2 linked regions of the Lepisosteus oculatus genome follow. The protein of the gene in region 1 purifies or fractionates together with the protein of each later gene. This does not show direct contact. Links are inferred from orthologs where the notes say so. Each region holds a gene or a part of one and is shown on either strand. Other genes may lie near its edges. The genes, in order: swsap1 and spidr.

The links.
Region 2: the proteins of swsap1 (region 1) and spidr purify together in Homo sapiens (co-immunoprecipitation; 3 studies listed by BioGRID and IntAct, with this or other methods). This does not show direct contact. The link is inferred for Lepisosteus oculatus from reciprocal best matches to the Homo sapiens genes SWSAP1 and SPIDR.

The regions. Positions count from the first base shown.
Region 1 is NC_090706.1:17,214,791-17,222,252, reverse strand, and holds swsap1 (ATPase SWSAP1), read right to left. Parts: upstream 2,990-7,462; 5' UTR 2,901-2,989; coding exon 2,625-2,900; intron 1,583-2,624; coding exon 1,064-1,582; 3' UTR 723-1,063; downstream 1-722. Other genes in the region: znf653 (zinc finger protein 653), read left to right, coding at 3,720-4,012, 4,835-4,875, 5,566-5,847, 5,964-6,523, 7,058-7,238. UniProt on the Homo sapiens protein: ATPase which is preferentially stimulated by single-stranded DNA and is involved in homologous recombination repair (HRR). Has a DNA-binding activity which is independent of its ATPase activity.
Region 2 is NC_090701.1:46,923,507-46,931,112, reverse strand, and holds the start of spidr (DNA repair-scaffolding protein), read right to left. Parts: upstream 3,138-7,606; 5' UTR 2,963-3,137; coding exon 2,945-2,962; intron 2,334-2,944; coding exon 2,169-2,333; intron 1,654-2,168; coding exon 1,584-1,653; intron 1-1,583. UniProt on the Homo sapiens protein: Plays a role in DNA double-strand break (DBS) repair via homologous recombination (HR).

The sequences.
Region 1 (7,462 bases):
TGGTGGTGGCAGAGGGGTCTGTATAGAAGAGTACTCAATGGTTATGGCTTATAATGAGCAGAGTTATTGATAGCAGGGTAGTTTTAAGAATGCACTGGATGTTGAGCTGTTAGTTCATTTCTCTATTTGAACCACAGTGAATCTCTGGGCCAGAGCTTATGCAGGTGTCAAGGAGTTAAGCCACGATTCCAGAGACTGACTGATGTCAGACCATGCTGATGTATGTTAAGTTCTATAATATATACAGGGTTAATCAAAATGTTGTCAACGAGTATAAATGTCAATTGTTTTACTAAGGTTTTGTTTTCTCCTCCACAGATGGTGAAGGATTGTAAGGTAACTGTTAAAAAACTCTGACCGTTAATTACATGGGTTACTGTGATAAAAAAGGTTTCAAACAAAAGCGTAAATATCAAAGTTGTCGACCGCATTTTGATTAACCCTGTATTTTCCTTCATCTTTCAGTTCAAGTATCTAGAAGCTCTTCATAAGAAAAAAATTCAACTTCAACAAGCTCGGGAGGACAGTGCTGAGGAAATACAGAGAGAACTATCAGGTGAGGCATCGCCCACAGAGCGCATACCGATCATTCTGTTAGAAATAAAGAAATGAAGCCCGACCCCCTCTGTGTGAATAACAGATGACTCAAGTACACTGTAAGAGTTCTTTTGGACCCGTATGGATCTGAAACTTTCCCAGCCTGAATGTACGACTTGGTTATTTCATACTGTGGCTTTTCCAGGATTATGGTCCAGAATTCCTAGCCTGGGAATCTGCGCAGGTGAGCCATTATAGGCTTCTATTTTCAGGTGATGGAAGAGAATAGCCAGGAAAGTTTGGAATGATCAATCAGGAGCTGGCTGCGAACAGGATGAGAGGAATGTGATTTTTCATATAAACCAACTTCTAAGTTTGTCTGTTGTTTTTGTGCTCGACTGCCCTGTTTCAATAGCCTGCCCACACACAACAGGACACAAAACCCATAACCTCCTCCAAAATCCAAAAGACATTTAGGCCAAATAAGTGAATAAATGTTTTGTGCATTTCCAGCCACAAGGGAATCTCATTCCTGGCTCTTTTCTGGGATTGGGGTAAACTCCATGGCTCCGCTTGGGGTATAGACCAGCTCCCACTGGCGTCCCAGTCCAGAGTCCCGTCCTTCCGTCTGCTGGAAACCGGAGAAATAAATCCGGCAAGCTCTTGTCCCTGCACAGCTGGCGTCTCTTCCCAGCGTGCACCTGACGGGGAAGTAGCGCTCGAAGACGGAGAGGACCGAATCGCTGCCCGACGCCTCGGCTCCGCGTTCCGGGTGGGTATCCAAGGACACGATGAGCTGGCACTCGGCGGGGGGGTCTCCGGGGGCCCCGGCGCGGGCCCGGCTCAGGAAGGTGGCGGTGTCGCACAGCAGGGCGGAGAGGCGCGCGGCCATCTGGTGCGCCTGCTCGCCCTCCCCTCCCCAGCGCAGGTAGCGCTCCAAGCCGTCGACGATGAGGAGGGAGGGCGGCGCGCCGGCTGCCTCGTGCAGGCACGCGACGTCCCGCAGAAGCTCCTCCGCCGTCCGGGGGTACACGAACTTGATTTTCTGCAAATGCATGAGGGGACATCATGAGATGAAAGCGCTAAATAAGTGTAAGAAATAATAATGGTAATAATAAGAAGAATAATTATTATTGTTGTGGTTAGGAAATGTAGGTCAGCACGGTAGAAGAGTGGTGAACACTGCTGCCAATAAAGCCCTGGCTTCAATTCTGGGGTGCTGTCTGTGTGGAGCTTGCATGTTCTCCCTGTGTTCATGTGGATTTCCTCCAGGTGCTCCAGTTTCCTCCCACAGTCCAAAACCATACTGATTTTTTTTTCAATCAAAATAAACTTTATTTCAAAGAAAACATCTCACAAGAAGTATAGATTCCAACACATTTCTCAGTCAGGTGTCCATTATCATTCATTGCAAGTGGATGAAGGGTCCAGATTTGCACAATGAAAGAGTCCCTCCTAGCCCTACCGTAAACCATACTGATAGGTTAAGTGACTTCTGGGAAAACTGGCCGTGGGGTGAGTGTGTATCTGTTTATGTCTGTGTGTGCCCTGAGACAGACTGGCGTCCCGTCCTGGGTGTATCCTGCCTTGTGCCCATCACTTGCCTGGATAGGTTCCAGCTCCCCCACAACCTTGAATTAGAGCAAGCAGTGAGAACATGGCTGGAAGGGTGACACAGGCGTGTACGTTTGGTGAGACTGAGCTATGACCCCAGAGGACAGAGACTGCTCTCATCTGCTTAGTTCTAGGATGGCTCCAAGGAGGCTGGAAACTGATGCCATCTGCTTTTCTGTCTCCAACGGCTTTTTATTAAAATATTTACTAGACTGAAGACAGAAATACCTATATTGAGTGATTTAAAGATACTTAATACACTGAAGACTGAAAACAGACTGAAGACAAAAAAGATGTAATAGACACAGTCTATCAATATTTACTACACGTTCTGCGTTCTGTAAAAATCAAAATAAATTTGAGAGTTCTGTTACAGACGTGGGTAAGAGCCGGTGTTAATCATTTCAATATCCTTGACTACACAGCGTCAAAGTGAAGTTTTATGCCCCCGTAGACATGTGCACGGTACCTACTTTCAGGCTAGCGGGGTCCAAGCCTGCCCGCGCTTCCATCAGCGGAGCAGGGAGGGTCTGGATCGGAGTGGGGCTCAGAAAGATGACTTTCCGCCCCAGTTCGGAAGCCGCCATCACCGCTGTTAGAAACAGAAGGCACGTCTTGCCACAACCCCGGCCCCCCAGCAGGATACAAGACAGTGAGCGGGCTTCTCCCTCAGGAGGAGAAAGAGAAGGAGACGACTCGCGTCCCCGAGGACTGTAGCGATCGAAGACCCAAGTCAAGAGTTCTGCCATATTGCCATTACCATGGAAACAAAGCCGACAAGGGAGTAACTTCCTGTCTCCGCTCGGTCCGAAAACAAACCCACACGTGAACTCTTCCCGCGCTGTGTCAGGCCCCGCCCCCGAGCTGTTATAGGGCGAGATGTGCGTATGTCAGGTGTCTTGAGTTCCCATTGGATAAAAGAAACGTAGGATTAAACCGCAGCACCTTTTACTTGAAGACATATTCACGACACCTTGATAACGGAGATTTTAAAGTGCAAGCTATTTTTGACATTTAAAAAAAATGCAGTTGTCTCGTTGATCTGTTGAATCTCTCTGGTTTGATTAAATGTAGCTCCTTGCTTAGGATTAAAAAATTAAATACTTAAAGTTATCCAGACAGACTGCTTTAAAAATATAATAAGAAGAAAAGTCGGTTTTGAACTTTTTGTTACTCTTAGCGTGTGCTTGCGTTAAAGATAAACGTCGAAGAAGAAACTAATGTTACAGCCTAACCTGGTACAAGGAGAAATAGCGTGGGTACAGCAATTCTAGAGCGAAATGATTCGATTAATCAAAAGAAAAAAACAGTGTGTGGCCTACAACAGTATTGTAGCGCTCTCGGCATTTGCCACTTTTAAAAACAGTGCCAGAGGAATTGGTTTTGTCCCATGCTGTTCTTTCAATTTTGTGATTACACTGAATATGTGTACTGAAATAAAGTAAAAAGAATAAATATATTGCCGCTATCCAATCATTTTTCTGCAAGCAGTGTTTCCGGTGAGGTCAAGTCGCATACCTTGACTATTTCCGGTAAGGTCAGAAACATACACACAGCTGTTGACCAAGATGGCGCACATGAGTGCCGAGGAAGAGACGTCTCTAGACCAGGAGGCTGGAGACCAAATTTCGGCGATTCTGCGGCGCTGTCGGGGACGTCCTCGCCTCACTGACACGGACCGAGCTAAGAGGCGATTGGAGTCCCGGAAAAAGTACGACGTCCGGCGAGTGTACCTCGGGGAGTCGCACAAACTGTGGAGTGAACTTCGGAAGCGGACCAGTTTAAGCGACGCCGGACTAGCCGAGTATTTAATCCTGCTCGACTCGATTTATGGCGAGAGGTACCAGCAGAAATACGGCGGGTAAGCCATTTACAAAAAATATTTTATTATTATTCTTGTGAGCAGAACATGCTTCATTTAAGGGTAAGCTTACTAAATGGTACACGACCAGAACTAGTGCAAACCTAATATTCAGTTTAATAACCCTGTGCTCTCTCGACCAGGTACTTTGGCTGCTAGCAATATGATAATTTATTTTTTCAATAAATTTTGTCTCATTATAGTCTTTTTTTCTTCATAGAGAAGTCTTCCCAATCAGTCAATTCTAATCTAACCTTAGTTGTTGTGACAGTGGTATTTTGTCCATCTGTGCTATTACTGTAGATGTCTTATTTATGTAAATGTCTTGGCTCAGATGTTATGTTGCAAAACACATGGATTTTTAGTTGATCTGAAGCGTAATCTAGTGATTTTCAGATTCCCCTACAAATGCACTGAAATATTTCGCCTAAATCCCTCATCACGATTGCCGAATTTTGACTCACCCAGGAAAAATTGCTCACTGATATCTGCATTTGTAACTTCTGCAGTACAGCTATAAATGTTCTGTAAAACATTGCTAGAGTGAGCCAAGTAATGTCCAAACTGCATTGCACGTTGAACCATTTCTAATTTTACAGAGTTTAATCTTATTCATTTTGCCTTGCTGATCAGTGTGGGTTTTCTTGTGGTATTTTAACACATTAGTCTGTTCAGACTGTTTTGTTGCATCAGATGTGAGAAAATGTCCTACTGACCTTACAGCAAGGGGATAGGAAAATGCAATGACCTCTTTGAATTATTTCAATTACTTACTGCTGTCTAAACCATAGCCTGTATCATAACCCTCTTCTTGTCTTTCAGAAAGAAGCTGAGTGCGGAGTTTTGTGTCAAACCAAAAAGGGGTTAGTAAAAACAGTTGGTAACAAGAGGTAGTTGAACTGTAGAAATGTGCTAAAGCCCGTTGCTGTTTTAATTTGATGTCTGCACGTATCCCATACTTTTCAGTAAATATTTTCTCGTTTTTCCAAGTAAAAGCAAACTCCTTTCAATGAGCACATTTCGGTGCTAAAATAGTTACTTTTTTTGTAACATGGTCTTGAAGCTTTTTAGATAATTTGAGTGGCTGAAGTGAGACAATAATAGAAGCCCTGTACAATTTGCACATCGTTCTTAGTATTATCAAGACACTCCTATTTAAAATAATATCTAAAATAAGCTACAAAGACCTATATTTAAGCTGTTTAAGATTTAAGCCCTCCAAACACCCTGCATCTAATCTTGTGACTCTTGAAGCATTAATCCATCCATCCATTTTCTAACCACTTTATACAATACAGGATCAATGAGTAGCAGGAGCCAATCCCAGCAAGCTCTGGTTGCAAGGCAGGGCACACCCTGGACGAGACACCAGTCCGTCGCAGGGCGGACACAGTAGCACACACTCGCACCAGGGCCAACTTTGCCAGAAGCCAGTTAACCAATCAGCGTGTCTTTGGATTGTGGGAGGAAAGGTGTTTGTGGGTAAGAAGTAGAGAGACCTAGTACTGACAGTGGTGCCGTGCGCTTTACTGTCTGTGCCTGTGTCCCCTCAGGGAAGAAGAGCAATGTGAACTGTCTGAGCAGTCTGGTCAGCTGGTACATGGAGCACCAGAAGACCTGCCCCCACGAGCCCCAGCTGCACGCCCTCGAGCCTGTGCTGGGCTTCTCCACCACGGCGGTGTGGCAGTGCCAGGCCGGCCACGGCTACATGCAGCACCTGGTCTCTCCCAGCAAGGATGCCAGCGAGTCGGAGAACGAGCCCGAGCCCGACACGCCGCCATGCGACAGGGTGGCACCCTGCACCAGGAGGAAAACGGCCTCTGCGTGCCACCTGGGTGAATGGCCGAACCGGTTAAAGCCGACGCCAAAAGCCAACAATAATCAACATTTCTGCGTGTACATCCTTCGTGGGTTGACTGTGACGGTTTCTTTCCCTTTTCTCCTGCCGCAGACGCCACGGAGACGGCCGAGGAGATGTCGGAGGGCCTGCAGGGCGGCGATGGCGAGCTGGCCAGAGCAGAGCCCATCGCGCAGGACAGTCAGGGGCCTCCGCCGGGCCATCCCGGCGAAGCCGACGCGGACTCCCCGGCGGCTAGGTCTCTGTGGAACATGGAGGTGGTCTTGGAGGAGGGGGAGGCCGTGCTGGAGGGCAACAAGGCCGGCGAGCCCCCTGGGCAGCCGGAAAATGCGGCGGCATCCTCGGAATCGGGTCCCGGAGCCCTGGGCCGGCATGCGGCGGGACCGGAGGAGGAGAAGGGAGGGGGCGCGTTGGCCGCCGAGACGGACTACGAGTGCATGGTGGTCACTGCCGCCCTCACGGACAGGGCAGTCAAAGACGGGCGGGTTGGGGTGGCGGAGGACTCCGGGCGGGATCCGTCCCACCCTGCGCCCCCTCCTCCCCCCACCATGCACATCACCGGCGGCGGGGAGCTGTACGACCAGCAGACTCTGCAGACCGTGGTGGCCAGCTGTCAGATCCCCGACGCCCAGGGTGCCATTGAGGGATCCCAGGTAGGACCCCCCACCCATGGCCTTCCCATTTCCCTCAATCAGAGCTGGATCCACTGAAACGAGGCAACTCGAAACGTCTTGGCCTCCTCTTGTTCCGGAGCTCATAGTCGACACATCTTCTTTACTGGCTCGCTCCCTCTTCTGATTGCATGCCTGCTGTGGAATGTAAGAAAGGATACAAACAGGAGAGCTTTAGCCCACTTGTTTCTGGTTTGCTGATTGATATGAGGATCTCATGCATGCTTTTCTTCTAGGTTCCCTGGCAGTGTGCTGTAATAACACTACTGGCTATCTTATATTGCCCAGATTCCTATAATAATCCCTGTTTAAGCCATAAGCCTATGTTCTTTGATTTAATCAGTGGTCTCCTTGATTCACTGTTGGTCCTAAAATATCCTTCTTTTTAAGCTCAGTATTTTTCTGGGTTTTGTAACTGTTTGTACCAGTCTTGGACTGCTGATCCGTCCCTCCCACCTGTTTCTACGGGGAGGGGGAGTGGTGACTCTCAGTCAGTTTCCTTGTTTCTCCTGGCAGGTGATCATCATCACAGGGCCCAGCTATGAGGCCCTGACCACAGAGGGCCTGCAGCTGAACGTGGGCGAGAGCGTGGGGGAAGAGATGACCTGCACGGTCATCGAGGGGGTGGCGTATAACCAGGTCTGCGATTCTGGGCTCGGGCACAGGGGCGTCGTCCAGAGCTTGGACACTGCTAGAGGTCAGTCTTTGGCGGTTGTCACCTTGCAGCTCCTTTGTGTGTTTATGTAGATGAGATCTTAATCTTTGCTGCCTGTGTGCCTAGCTGCAGGTGTTTCAGTTCACGGTGTTTGTGTATTGAAGGCCAGTGTGCAAAGAGCCATTCTATCTTTAAATGAGATGTTTAACCTGCTAATGTGAGTAGCCTAGGCAGAAAGAACATAGAATTAGTAAAACTATAATGGG
Region 2 (7,606 bases), on another chromosome or scaffold:
CCTGCAATATATTTTGTACACGGAATATTTAATAGCACATGCATTAATAGTACAAAGCTTTGAGGTATTGCCAAGTTTAATATAGTTTTCTTTGAACAAATGTGAATGGGCTCGTTATGTTCACCGTACTGTCATTTTTTAAATGTATTTGTAGTAGTACACAGCTTTGAATAACCTGAGTGGTACTGAAAAGTTTTCTATAGTTTACTTTGCCCGTTTTGAGTTGAGCTTGCTCAACATGAACACAATGTGTCACTACTTTTGTGCAGGCATAGATGAGATGAAATTCAGTTCAACAAAAGGCATTTTGACCGTGAGCTGTGAAACCACACTTCTTTACTCTTTTTATAATGATGCCCCCTCCAATCCTCGCACACTTGCTCTGTGTCACTGAAGTGTGGACTTGAAGGAAGGGCTTAGGGCAGAGGGCGAAAACTGGAAGGTGGCCCATGGGTAACAGTATCATTCATACCAAACTCTGAGGTGACTGGTGCAGTCTCTTCCAGAGGCATGGGGTAAAGTCCACCCCTAGCATCCCGGTAGTACAGCATCGCTTCTGATCTGTGTGTTTGACAGTACTGGAGGTGTGGAACAAGCTACCTGCCAAGGTGCTGAAGCCAATATCCTGGGTTCTTTCCCCTGGTCACTCAGCTCTTAAAGTGCCGAAGAGACGGGCTGAAAGGCCTCCTCTCATTCACTACGTTTCTCACGTTCCCTTGCTTTCAAAGTGGGCAGGTCGGTGGAGTCTGACTACATTTCCCAACTGCCATATCTCCCTGCATCTCACAACTGGCAGCCCACTGAAGCTCAGCAGGCGTGAGCCTGGTCAGTACCTGGATGGGAGACCTCCTGGGAAAAACTAAGGTTGCTGCTGGGAGAGGTGTTAGTGGGGCCAACAGGAGGCGCTCACCCTGCAGTCCATGTGGGTCCTAATGCCCCAGTATAGTGACGGGGACACTATACTGTAAACAGGCGCTGACCTTTTGAGATTGATGAGACGTAAAACCGAGGTCCTGACTCTCGGTGGTCATTAAAAATCCTGGGGTGTTTCTGGAAAAGAGTAGAGGTGTAACCCCAGCGTCCAGGCCAAAATTTCTCATTGGCCCTTCTCAATCGTGGCCTCTTAATAATCCCCATATATGAATTGGCTTCATGACTCTGCTCTCCTCCCCACTGAGAGCTGATGTGTGGTGAGCGTTCTGGCGCACTATGGCTGCCGTCGCATCATCCAGGTGGAGCTGCACACTGGTGGTGGTGGAGGGGAGTCCCCATTACCTGTAAAGCACTTTGAGTGGAGTGTCCAGAAAAGCACTATATAAAAGTGTGAGGAATTATTAATATTAGCAGATGCAATCTGAGACACAAAAGGCAACACCTACTATTCAAAATCAGGCGGAATACCGGTAAGTATTAGTTTCTTAAACAAAAAACAGTTTCACCCAAACACCTGGACACTGAAATTGACTGTGCACACAAAATACCCACAAGCATTCTGCAGGTTTCGGTGCTATAACAGATCCAAAAGACATTGTATTTTCAACTGACCTTCAAGAATTCGGCTTTGCTTCCGCCAATTCACTTACCTTTAGCTAAGAATGAAGAATGAACCAACTGCCTCACAGCTCTTAACTTCTTTCCAGAACTGCCCAGTTTCTGAAAATTAAACCGAAAGGGAGAGGGGCAATAGGGCAACCTATTACTCAGCGATAAAAAAACATTGAAAAATGGCAGCAACCGGCACATTTACAGTAGAAGCCAGGATCCGAGACCAAGACAGTAACGCCAAGGCCGGTGTGGTGGCTCTGTGGCTGGAAGGTTGCCGGTTCGTATCCCGCGGCCGGCAGAGGAATCCTACTCCTTTGGGCCCCTGAGCAAGGCCCTTCACCCCAACTGCTCCAGGGGCCACGTATAAATGGCTGACCCTGCGCTCTGACCCCAAGCTTCTCTCCCTGTCTGTGTGTCCCTTTTAGAACAAGTTGGTGTATGCGAAAAGACACATTGTATACGGCCAGTAAAGTGATCTTATCTTATGTGCTAGGCCACCTTGCCTCTCTCTGCTTGTGCACGTTTACTCATGATAAGGTGACAAGCTGTATACATGGTGAGGTTTTAAGCTATAGGCTGGGAGCAGGCATCTCCTTGTTCGTGATGAGTGTTGGGCTACGTACCTGTCCCTCGACAACAGGGCAGTCCCTGAATCCGTCCCCACGGCGCTCCCAGGACTTGGCAACAGAGGAGGGAGGACGTGTGCTCTCATTTCCCAGCGTTTGCACTCCGTCCTTGACATCGTCAGGAAAGACCGCGCGTCTGACTTCTCTCGATCTCCTCTTCCTCTAACGGAATTCAAGCCAAAATCATAGCGCTTTACAATCCTTCGAGCACCGATCTCATTTCAGCGAAATGTTGTTGTTTTTTTTTATTATTATAGGTGACTGGCACACGTCCTGCGCCCTAACTGAGCAGACTGCTATATTGAAAGATCAACTGTTGTGGTTAAATACCCTTCAATACGGTTTTTTTTTTGTTAAATAAATAATATAAGAACACGAAGGATTACAGTCTGGAATATTCGGTAAATATTATTAATTTAATAGCAGCTCATTAAAAGTTTCATAAGGGGCAATTGCCGCGGACATGCAGTAGCGTTATAAGCAGGGAAACGGAGAAAAGACACGAATATGATGCACAAACGCTGTTTTCGCTTTCAGCCGGTGGCTCTTGCTCTAGCGCAGCTCAGCACTATCCAGCCGAGAGGAGGAGAGCGAGTTTCTGCCACGTTTCACTTGGCACGCCTCTCCAGAGGAGATAAAACAGCTCCATACCCTGGCACAGCGGTTTATAAAACTAAACACTGAGAAGAAACGTGGTTCTGCAACAAGGTACTTCAGGCCACTCTGGTCACTAGCCACATTGCGCAGCCAAAGTTCATAAAAGTCCCACTTACCTTTGCAAAAAGAGACATGGCTGTTCCATTTACTAATGCATAATGTACAAACCCGGTCTTCAGCTACTTCGTCTGTTGTGACCGTGATTTGTGTTAATTGCTCTACAATGTGACAATAGTCATAATCCTCCCGTACTGTCTTTTTAACTATTTACCTTCCTGTGATGCTGTTACTTTCTCCTTGGCGCGCCACTTCACTGGCGTGGATGATTGGACAAACCGTCAAAAGAGGAAGTGTCGTCATAGGCTGCGCAACGTATTCTGGGGAATGCAGTACAATGTAGGGTTCATTCCCGGACGTCTGTTTTAGCTGGTTCGAATAGTTTAGGTTGAACAACAATGATAAAAGACTTTAACGTCTTCATCTGGTTAGAAAAAAAAGTGAGATTTGGGACAAGCCTAAATTATTAGCAATACATCTACTACCTAGTTCAGGTGGGTATCTGCGTCAGCATGCGTAGGCTGCAAAGGAATAAGTAATAGGTTTACTCCATGCTGAAAAAAGAAGAAAGAAAACACAACGTTTCGGCCGTGGAGCCTTCTTCAGATGTGTGGCTCCACGGCCGAAACGTTGTGTTTTGTTTTTTCACCTGTAAGGTGAAGGTCTTTCTTTCTTTTTTACACCTGGTAAATGTGGCAGATCTGCATTTAATGTTCAGAAGCAAAGTGTTACATGCAGTGACAGCAACGTAAACCATGAACTGCAAGCAAGCCTCTGCCCGCCTGCTTTAACAGTGTGGGTGTTCTGGGTGAACTAATGGAGAATTAAAATGTACAGTATTTCCTTACACAGTTGAATACCTACAGCCTGAAATTTGAGAATTCATCTTTGATGAGGAACTTTATCGGAAGCTTTCTGAAAATCTCAATATACCAAACACTGTAGATTATATGACAGATTATGAGTTTATTTGCCAAATAGTTTCTGAAGAAAGGCAGTTAGTGGTACTGGATACATTTCATTAAGCTGGTCATTATGGCAAAAACAAGTATTGTTGCTGCATATAAGACATATAAGTCTGAGGCAGGTTTTCGTATGATGGTCTCTGCCACGTTTTAAGTCAATAGCTGGAACACTCACTATGATTTGAACAGTGTGAAGTTTGAGACAAAAAGGCAGGCAGGCAGCCATACTATTTTAAGGTAGATAATCTTATTATCACTAAAATGACACCAAATACCTGTATTTGTTTGGTGGCAACAGGCACAGTTTTTGTAAACATTTTTGTGCACATCATTAACAGCTTTACTTGTTCATGAAATCTTCCACGTTTCAGACGTAATCTGTGAAGTAGTGTCCAAGACAGACAGAGACAGTCTGAATTGTGAGAGCATGACGGTCCTGTGGCCATCTTGTTATACATAGGAACGACAGTGTGTGAGACTTTAATGCGCCGCACAATGACATCATGCTTGGAGTTTTGGAGTTGTGGCAGCTATTATCATTAGACTTTGAATTAACTGCTCAGAAATTGCGCAATGTTTCTCTTGTCTTGAAGGGAAAATTACCCTGGCACTACTTAACTGCTTTAAGTCAGTTTCTTAGGAATACTGGGGAGATGGAGATGAGGGGCTGGCCGATAGGAAGGGCTGACTGGTTAGTAGAAATCGGGACATCATAAATTGGACTCTTCTTCTCCATAATTTTTGTCTTCCAAAAGAGGAGACATCTGAGTTGAATCCCAGCTTGTGATCTGTTACAAATCCATTGTCAAGGCCAGAGTGATTCACCGAGGAGGAAGCGGCCACATGACATGAACATTACGCCTGTTGATATCACAACCTGTGACGATGCACCTGGAAAGGCTCTACACAACAGTCTGAGAAGCCCTGTGACTCTTGAAACCTTGGCAACTTGACGGCTAACTAATCTCTTGACTGGATCCACCATTGCTTGAACAACTGGAACAAACTTAGCTGAAAGCATCTGCCTGACTGAGAGACCTGTATAAACTTAATTCTACTCAAGACTTCATCTGCAACAACAGACATTTTCCCACAAGCTCCCAATTGTAGTTGTGCCTGATCAATGGAATAACACAGTCAAACTTTTGTCAGCACCACTGAATATCATAGAATATTCAGAATAGCAACTACTGATTACAGGCAAGTGAACTTTCTATCTATGTCTCAATTGCCGCTGTACCCAAGTTCATTCTGAGGAGCCATCTTCAACATGAGGCCCCACTCAGCTGTCCCTGCTTCAGCTGGAACTCCTTCGGCACAGAGATGAGGACAAGGAGTGGACAGCTGCAGCCAGATCCAGCTATAATGTTTAATAACGAAAATTAACCAGCTATTTCAAACATGATGCAATTCAGCTCAACTGTATTTTTCATTATACTTACACAGGTGCATAGAATAATGAAAAGTGTTTCTCATTAGTCTCTCAGGTGCAGGACAGAAAACACAATAACAATAACAGTGTAAACAACAGTACGGTACCAGTGCAGCAGTACCCATATCTGTTAAAAACTGTGCAAAAGTACATAAACAGAGCAAAACAGTGCAAAATAATACGGTGAATATCAAATAGAACAACTACAATTAAGTACAGTTTTAAGTTCAAGTTCGGCTTACATTCAATTGTCAGAGGTATGGTGTATGTAGTGGTGTAGGAGCACAGTCGTTGTGGGTACAGGAAGAGGTTAGATCAAGTGGAATTCAGGAAAATAGTCTTAATGTGTGAATGTTTATGTAATCGTATTCACGAGGTAATGTAATCTAGACCTGCTATTTTTAGTATTTTGTAAACCCTGAACGATTGATCAATTGTGTGTTTCATGGCAGATTGAATCATAAATATAATTATTTTATTGATTTATTTTGTATATGTATTGCTGTATTCATAATTGTGTTTGTCCCCATAAGGCAGTGGCTATAAGGTATGCCCTGAGTTCACTTTCCCAGTTCCTAATTATTTCAGTAAATTGAAACCATCATAACACTACAGACTGAACTGGAAAATGTTTTTTTAAACAGTGGGATTTAGTTTTATGGGTTGAAATCTCGAAATCCAGAAAAAGAAAATGGCTGCAAAGAGCCAGCTTTGTTTACACAGCTATCCATTATCACTTACAGTGTTCCAATTAGTGAGAGTTACGACTATAAAGTTTGCAGTTCAGTGCTCAGACAGCATTTTAGCAGAAGCTGCTTGTGTGAAGAGCTGCTTTTCTCAAAACATTATAGCTCATTATAGATAAAACTTACCATAACAATTTTTCTAAAGCATTTTTTCCCCCAAAGATGTGGTTGTTGATGAAGTCTGCTAAATGTCATTGTAACTACAGAAATTCAATGTTGTTTTGAGCTTTGAATGTGCAGGTCTGGTTTCCATCTTGGTTGACACTGAATTTGTTGTCACTAAGATAATGGCTTGTATTTGTCTTAGTGAGCTCAAAGTTTCAGTATGGAGTTTCCAGGTTGTCTAGTCTTTAAAAACTGGAAGCCTAAAAATATTCACAATAACTTCCCATAACTTGGAAGCCTAATTATCTGTTGCTGGGTCTCAGCACATTTGCAACTTAAAAGGAAGGAAGGAAAAAACTTTATATTCACCATAGACTTCTCAGACTCAGACTCACTGTAACAATACAAATCCTTACATCCATGATAAGTTTAGGAAACACTGATTCTGCTGCTGTGACAACCAATGACAGTTGGTTTTATTTGTAAAAGAACATCGCTGAATAAATTGCTTTTGATAAGAATCTGTAACAATTATAGTAAATATTGATCCACAATACCATTTATCTGCCCAGAATGTTTTACACACAGTGTGTAAATGTTTTTTAATCGTTTGCTGAGCTGTCAGCTGTTATCCACCAATTCGTGGTGAAGAGGCGGGCCATCAGACAGAAAATGTCGGTTTTTGGACGACAAAATAGACAAGGGGCCTGAGGCACCGCGGAGTCAGTCATGATAGACAGCTAAGCTCCGTCTCCCGGCGATGTCTCCATGAAGTGACCTGGTGCCGACGTGTTGGTGCCATCACGCATGACGCGACCACAGAAGACGCGGTCGCACAGCTGCCGCACAGGAGTGACAGCAGCATAAAAAACCCCAAATCCAGCTGGGGTGAGCAAGCCAGGGTTTTTTTCCACCTGGTTTCTCCTCAGGAAGTGACGCAGCCGATGCCTTAAGTTGATAGCTGCTGTGAGGTTGCAGGCAGCTGCGGTCCTGATAGTTTCAACTGTGGTGACGCTTCGCCAGGGTCGGAGAACCCTGCTGGAAACTGGCGAGCTGCAAAGCGCAGGGATCATGTTTGACTACCATTATGTGTCGCCGCAGCAACTGGCCGGGTTCGACAAATATAAGGTAAAAGCATAACAAATCGGGGTACAGTCTTGTTTGATTCAGAAACAGCGATCAGTTTTCATGCTGTTATGGTGTTTCCTAAAGACAAGATACAGAAATCGTGAAAAATCGTAGGAGCCAAGCTAACGCGCAAGTGAACTGGATTGCGATATTGGAAATATATATATTTATTATTTCTATTTTATAAGGTAAGGGCTGATTAAAAAATAAAAGCAAATCGGAGATAAAGAATGAATTGAACAGCTTAGACTGTAAGAATGGGCAATCTGAAAACATTGTGAGCGACGACTCAGAATATCCCTCTTTTATAATTAGCCGCCTCCGGTCTTTGGAAATGCTTTTCTG